Arabidopsis thaliana: one gene and its partner. The protein of the gene in region 1 interacts with the protein of each later gene in a pairwise test. Each region holds a gene or a part of one and is shown on either strand. Other genes may lie near its edges. The genes, in order: YUC2 and AT2G25010.

The links.
Region 2: the proteins of YUC2 (region 1) and AT2G25010 interact in binary tests that used the Arabidopsis thaliana proteins (3 or more experiments, as listed by UniProt).

The regions. Positions count from the first base shown.
Region 1 is NC_003075.7:7,721,755-7,725,681, reverse strand, and holds the start of YUC2 (Flavin-binding monooxygenase family protein), read left to right. Parts: upstream 1-1,611; 5' UTR 1,612-2,065; coding exon 2,066-2,743; intron 2,744-3,040; coding exon 3,041-3,289; coding exon of another isoform or gene 3,290-3,298; exon of another isoform or gene 3,299-3,391; coding exon 3,392-3,514; intron 3,515-3,644; coding exon 3,645-3,842; 3' UTR 3,843-3,927.
Region 2 is NC_003071.7:10,629,594-10,633,520, reverse strand, and holds the start of AT2G25010 (Aminotransferase-like, plant mobile domain family protein), read right to left. Parts: upstream 1,991-3,927; 5' UTR 1,831-1,990; coding exon 1,747-1,830; intron 1,671-1,746; coding exon 1,014-1,670; intron 925-1,013; coding exon 775-924; intron 701-774; coding exon 314-700; intron 226-313; coding exon 1-225. Other genes in the region: WRKY60 (WRKY DNA-binding protein 60), read right to left, coding at 2,426-2,695, 2,783-2,899, 2,983-3,291, 3,496-3,558, 3,653-3,709. UniProt on the Arabidopsis thaliana protein: Acts as an important factor for cell fate determination and maintenance throughout plant development. Required for the organization of the root apical meristem (RAM) and the shoot apical meristem (SAM).

The DNA of each region.
Region 1 (3,927 bases):
AAATACAATTAATATAGTCTTTGGTATTATTCTTGCTTCTACCAAGGTAAGAGTTGCACCAATGGAAAATACAGAAGCCAAAAGAATATATAACTAATGATGCAAAGAATCATATGTAACGTACGCATATATATTTGGGAAGTGATTATCATAGGATTTGAATAGTATCGTAATGTTATACACTGTGACCATGACATGCGATACAAGCAAAAGTTGAATTTATAACAGTAACTCATTGTGAGATATGAGTGGTAAGAGATGGTAATCATAGTACACCAAGTTGACTGCACAGTGATAACATATATATATTCTCTTTTCAATATGATCAATGATAGGTTATAGTTCATATCATATGATGTGTCCTATCATCACTCATGATATATATAATGAAACATAAGGCACAAATATAGTTTTACATATATTCCTTGACCAATCATAAATCCATTAAAATGTAAGTTCATAGGTCATTTTGTTTTTAATATACAATGTCCTTTTCGCCTTAAGCTAAGGTATATTTAGTTTCAAACTAGAAACCAACTTTTCTTTAACGAAAAGGAAAAATAAACTTGAAATGGTTGAATTTTGGTAAAGTAGTTATAATTTTACCGGTTTCTCTTTATTAGCCAAAAATAAATGATAGTAAGGCTATAAAAGGAGAAACAAAAGTATTGACCACTCTTGGAGTTTACAATTGGATGTTACAACTTGAAATGCGCACCAGTGGAAATGTAACTTTGAAGGAGCTGTAGAACATCTTAATTGCAGCTTTGATTTTATAGACGACGACACTCGAGAAATGCAAAATCCATCAGTGGCAAAAGATTCTCCAAACTTTGTGGGGGCACACGAAAACACTTTTAGTTTCATGTTCTCCATCATGTCTCACAATACTTTGTTGTAGTTGTTTCCTCATTGTGGTGATTCTGAGGATATTCGTTTTCAGCTTGGTTTCTTTTGATCATTGTACCTTACTTTGATCCGTCCTAATTAACTTCCATTTCCAAAATAGCATGTTCCACAACTATCCAACTAAAACGTGACCCTGCATGATTTTCATGTAATCATTTTACTGATTAGCTAATTCTTGGATCATACCGAGAATATCACACTAATGCTCATGACTAGTTGAACATCTTAAAAGGCCGCCAGGAGCTATAACATCTTTAAAATACATTTCATAAAGTCCTCGGTGTATAAAAGACAAAAGTTCAACTAGCTATACACCGAGGACTTTATGAAATCTATTTTTTTTTCTTCTTCAAGTTGGATTCTTTAGTGGGTTCATTGTTTTCAAATATTTTCTAACATGGGACTTTTTGTATCAATCGGGTTGGCTAAATTTGGTCTCTTTTGATAATACTGCAAAAAAAAAGAATATATAAAAATAGGTGAGATATTTTTATACCTAAAATGGAAAGAAAAGTATAATCGTTTAGTTAATGGTTCGTTATCAAATCCCAATAGCCATAATTACGATATAAAGTATAGTAATTAAATAGAATTAAACATAACATGCCCATCCCACTACCTATCCACCTATATATATATATATGTATATATACAAATAGAGACATGTATCTCTCCCCAATTATGTCATGTGTCCATCGCCATCTCATCTTTTTTTTCCAACTCTTATAAAGAGTTGCTTCTCTCTCCCCAAGTATTTGTTTCAGAACCGCAAAACCTCTTCTTCAAAATCCGAAATCTTTGTTTCAAATCTCAATTCTTGAGAGATTTTCTTATAACAAATACTACAAAAATCTTTTGAGTTTGAAAAAATAATATTTCATCATTAGATTTACCCTGGTTTATAGGGAATATCCGATCTTTCTTCTTATCTATTTGGTTTATTTTCTTCTTAGTTCTTTTTGTAGATAAGATCAATGAAACTCATTCTCTCTTTTCACCTCTATTCTCGGGACATAATTATCCACGAGTCACAAAAGAGAGTATAATCTTTGTTTACCACACGGGTTTAAAAACCTAATCTGATATCAGTCCCCTACTTCACTTCTTGCATATTTTTAGATCTATTTCTCTCTTTTTTCTTCTCTTTCTCTCTTTCATGGAGTTTGTTACAGAAACGTTAGGCAAGAGAATCCATGATCCGTACGTGGAGGAAACTAGGTGCTTAATGATTCCCGGACCAATCATTGTCGGTTCCGGGCCGTCGGGACTGGCCACAGCGGCATGTTTAAAGTCGAGAGACATCCCTAGTTTGATTCTAGAACGTTCCACTTGCATAGCGTCACTATGGCAGCACAAAACATATGATCGTCTTCGACTTCATCTCCCTAAAGATTTCTGTGAGCTTCCATTGATGCCTTTTCCTTCAAGCTACCCTACTTACCCTACAAAGCAACAGTTCGTCCAATACCTTGAGTCTTACGCCGAACATTTTGACCTAAAGCCCGTTTTTAACCAGACCGTGGAGGAAGCCAAGTTCGATAGGCGGTGTGGGTTATGGAGGGTGAGGACAACCGGAGGGAAGAAGGATGAGACAATGGAGTATGTATCACGGTGGCTTGTTGTGGCGACCGGGGAGAATGCCGAGGAGGTGATGCCGGAGATTGATGGAATCCCGGATTTTGGTGGACCTATCCTCCACACAAGCTCCTATAAGAGCGGTGAAATATTTAGTGAGAAGAAGATTTTGGTTGTAGGATGTGGAAACTCCGGGATGGAAGTTTGTTTAGACCTTTGCAACTTCAATGCTCTTCCTTCTCTTGTGGTTCGTGACTCGGTGAGGATGAACAAAACTCTTCTCGTTAATATATGCAAGAACAATGATAGATGTTTAATTAGTATAGTTCTTGCATTTTCTCGCTCTACGTAATTTGTCACTCTTAAAGGTTTAACACTAACATCATTGGTCTCTTTGTGATCAAGTAACCAAATGTTTACTCTTTTCTTCTTTCGCTTTCAAAAAAATCCACGCATGTGATTATATTGATTCAGATCTCTTGTAATTTTATGGATTATATATTCCAATTCCATGATTACAGTTTTGGCTAATTAAAGTTTTTGTCTAATGCTATAGGTACACGTATTACCTCAAGAAATGCTAGGTATATCGACTTTCGGGATATCCACGAGCCTGCTCAAGTGGTTTCCAGTGCACGTGGTGGACCGGTTCTTGTTACGTATGTCTCGGTTGGTTCTTGGTGACACGGATCGGTTAGGGTTAGTTCGACCAAAACTTGGCCCTCTTGAACGCAAGATCAAATGCGGAAAGACTCCTGTTTTGGACGTTGGCACTCTTGCCAAAATCCGAAGTGGACACATCAAGGTTCATTAATTATAATTAAGTATTTTTAATACAATCTTGATTACAAAACCGTGAGCTTATGGTATATTGATTTGTTTTTTTTTGTTTTTTCTTGACTTTTAGGTGTATCCGGAGTTGAAACGGGTAATGCATTATTCGGCAGAGTTTGTTGATGGGAGAGTAGATAACTTCGACGCCATTATACTCGCCACGGGTTACAAAAGCAACGTACCCATGTGGCTAAAGGTGTGTACCATGAGCGATGATGCGTCTACATCTTCATTATTCTTAATTCCTTGATATTGACACATCACAACCCATTTTACGTTTCAATAGTTGAATTAACTTGGTTTGACTTTGAACTGTTTTTTTTTAGGGAGTGAACATGTTTTCTGAGAAAGATGGATTTCCGCATAAACCATTTCCTAACGGTTGGAAAGGCGAAAGCGGATTGTATGCAGTCGGTTTCACAAAGCTTGGATTGCTTGGTGCAGCCATTGATGCCAAGAAGATCGCTGAGGATATTGAGGTTCAACGACATTTCTTACCATTGGCTCGTCCTCAACATTGTTAATTAACCTGAGATTCGGGTTTCGATTTGGCAAGTTTGGATTGGGTTATCTAAGAAGTAGAAAGGTAGTAGTGGATGCATTTATGTA
Region 2 (3,927 bases), on another chromosome or scaffold:
AGACGAAATATCATTACCACCACCATTATTCGGCGTCGGAGTGTGTTCATTCCGACGCCGGCGCTTCCCGTAACCACTGTTAACTGCCACCTCTTGCCATCCCCCAAACGTCAAACTATTAGCGAATGTATCTTTCACACTCTCCATCACTTCTCTCTCCGCTGGAGATAATCTCTCTAGTGCAATCCCTGAAGCAGCTTCCTCAAATTCCCTCATACAAGCAATCTACACCAAACCAAAGTAAACTTATTTTGCCGGTTTCAAATATAAGATGTTTTAAAAACAGAAATGATAGAGATTAAACTTATTTTACCATATTCATGACTTGGGACTCGAGAAACGCTTCTCGGTATAGTTTGGTGATACTGATCCTAGCATACCATTCCATGTAAGCTCCATCATCCACCACATTGCCACCTCCAGGACTGTCCACGATGTGATCCCCACGTTCAGCCCATTCCTCACACGCTAGACTCATTGACGTGTCCAAGTCATCAAGCCGACGGTTCTTTCTGTCGCGGCGTTTTACTTTCAGAGGTATCGGCTGGCGTTTCCCAAACTGCCTCAGACACCTATCTGGAAAATGTAACTCTATTTTCTCAAAGCATACAAGAGTCGTTTTCGATCTTCCTAGAATCAGCTTGGCTTTAATGTGTGGTGGAATCAAGTTCTCAAATCTTTCATATGGACACCAAGTGATCTGCATTTTCACAACCATCAATTATTAACATTTAGAGCAATACAAAATTCATAAGGATGAACTGAAGGGTTTACCTTGCTAGGATCAAGATCGTCCAGTTCTCTGCGGTACTCAGATAGGTCGGTTTTGGATCTGCTTCCTTTACCTTTCCACAAAAGAGCAAGCGGGAAACACGCTTCGGATTTCTCGGGTCTACCGATATCCAGATGAAAATAACTCCAACACTATATACATGAGACAATCATATGTTACATTTCCTAAAGATATTGAAATCTCAACTGGACAGAAAACCAAAACTAACATAGAAGCCAACCTGTAGCAAAGTCAAACAACCGCAAATGTTGCTCTGAGATTTAAGCGACGCATTACCGAGCGCTCGGTAAAGACAAGCCAACGCAGCAGCTCCCCAAGCATATCTCCCAGCTTGATCAAAATCCTCAAACAAAGGCAAATACTTAACAGAGACTTTATCACCATCAGTAGTAGCAAAAATGGTACTACCAATAAGATACAAAAGATAAGCTCGAGTATGACATTTAACAACATCGAAAGAAGCATCTTCAGGACACTCAGAGAAAGTTCTTTTAAGCCAATTAAGCTTAACCCTAGAACAATTAACTTCTTTATTAGCAGCAGATGGTAACTTCCCTAAAAGTCTACCACACATATCCATAGCAACCTCATCACCAACTTTAGAACCAACAATGGGATCTCCATCAATCTCAAGTCCAAGTACTAAAGCAACTTCGTCTAAGGTTATAGTCATTTCTCCTAAAGGAAGATGAAAAGTATTGGTTTCTCTTCTCCATCGCTCAACAAGTGCAGAGATCAGTGAATTGTTTAAACTCATTGGACCGATTTTGCGAAAGTAACCGAAACCAGCTTTGTCCACGAGGTTAATTTGTTCATCAGTGAGTTTCCATTGATGTAGCAATGAAGTGTGTTCTTGACAACGAAGTAGACCTCGTTCCTAAGGTAAGTAAGGGGAAATAAGATTAACCCTAAATTCAAAATCTGAAATTTAGCAAGGGAATTAAGAAAAAAACCTGTCCTTCCCAAACAGCAGAAGAAACATGGAGGTCTTGCTCGTATAGGACAGATGGATCAACTGGTCCGACATCAATATCCATGTCGATAACTTACTCAAAATCAGCGAAAACTAAGATTACATAAACAAATTTTTGTCAAATTCTCAAAACACGAAACTTTTGATTCTTCAATTTGGGACTAAACACAGATGAAGAAGAAGAAGAAGTTGGGATTGGAAGCTAACCGTAACCTAATTTGGACTCGGTTCATAATTTTTCTTCTTGGCTTTTTATAGCTGTACCGGTTATTTTGGTTTGGTTCTCTTAAACCGACTCTGTTTTTCGTGGTTTTACTCTGTTTCCGGGTTTCTCTGTTTCTTTTATGTCTGTAATGGCATCACATTCTTCTCTAATGGAAGTTAATACAAACAACTGAACAAGATAACATTGGAAGATACATAAACTGTCGAAGCAGCGTCAATCTACCATACTTACACCGAGCTATAACAAAACTCTTTCAACATAAGATAAAATGGGGGTGACCCTTTTTGGATACTTAGATTTGATGTAATTATATACACACACATTAAAATTGACATCTATGCCTCCTAATCAAGATCAAACAAATCTTTACCTTTTTACTAGGAATGAGCAACAAAATAGAACAAAACAGAAATATACATGTTCTAGAGAACTTTCATGTTCTTGAATGCTCTATCAATCTCCCGGAAATAGCAGTCGCAAGAGCTGCAGTGAACTTAGGATCTTTGGTCAACGAAGAAGCCATTTGTTGCACCAAAACCTCTTGAATCGTCCCTCTCTCTTTCTTTTCCTCAACTGGTTCAAGCCCACCTTGAACTAGATCAAGTTTCACTGTCCTGGACACACTTGCATGTGGTCCGGTGTGGTTATGTGTCCCTTCGTAAGTGGCTACCAAGAAAGATGGATCTTCTGCACTTCGTTGCACCTAAACAAGCGCACACACAACTAGGGAATTTAATCAGACAGCAAGATGATATCGAAGAACTCTTTAACAAAGTTTAAACCAAAGTACCTTCTTCTTGACTAGACAAGACGGTGAAAACGAGCATCTGAAGTAAGCTCTAGGAGATGGATTATCTCTCGTAATCTTTTGCCCGTATTTCCTCCATTGATATCCATCTTTCACAGTCTACAAGTAACGTATATCCACAAAACATTCGTTAACAAATCAATACACTCAAAGAACGATACTTGTAGTAGAAATCTCCTTACCAAGCTTGTGTCAGACTTCTCAGCAGCAAAGTAAGCGGTTGAAACCGTCGCTTTATCGTTGGTGATGTTCTCGATTGGTCCGAGACTGAGTCCAATTGGGGAGCTAACAAACTCATCAAGTTCTTGTTTTCGTTTCCCCGTTAGCTGTTTGTTCTGAAAGTTAACACTTTCAGGACTCTTTCGACTCTGCAACTCCTCCATAAGATTATTAAGAGCATAGTACTTCTCACAGACTCTTGCTAACATTTCGGTTAGCTTCTTGTTCTCCGAATTAACCCGGTTTATTTCATCTTGTAGCATATTTCTCTTCTGTGTAAAATGAAAATCACCATTACCAAACTAAGCTGTAAGACAAAGCTTTGATTTGTTCAACTTTTGAGCATCACCGATCTAAACAAACTATTCAATGTCTAAATCAGATATGAGAACTTGATCAACCTAATCCATTCACTCATAGTCAAAAATTTTGAGGTCAAAGTATTGCACACCAAAGTGTTCGATGAAAGAACTAACCTCATCTTTCACTAACCATTTCTTCTCTACAACTTTAGAAGCTGAAGCCGAGACTTCTCTTTTCTAAATCAGGCAATAAAATATATATGAACACCACGAATAATCACCACAACCTCGAAAATTGAAGTGAAATTTTCGAAGAAATTGAAAAACTCACCGGAAGTTTACCGGAGAAATGAAGGTCGAACGGATTGGTGTTGGGATCATAGTCCATAAATTTAGGTTCACAGGAGCCAATTTAATGTAACGTGAGATTATAGCGAAGACCAAATTCATAATTGCTAAGAGATTTGGTCTCCTTTGGTTTTATAGTAACTAGTAAGTGGAGAGAGTGTAATAACTTGTCAATTATGAGAAGGTTGACGATTTGGGTGGAAAATGAGGGTCTCCTTTCTAATTCTAAAAAAATTATTATAAATCTTTTACAATTCT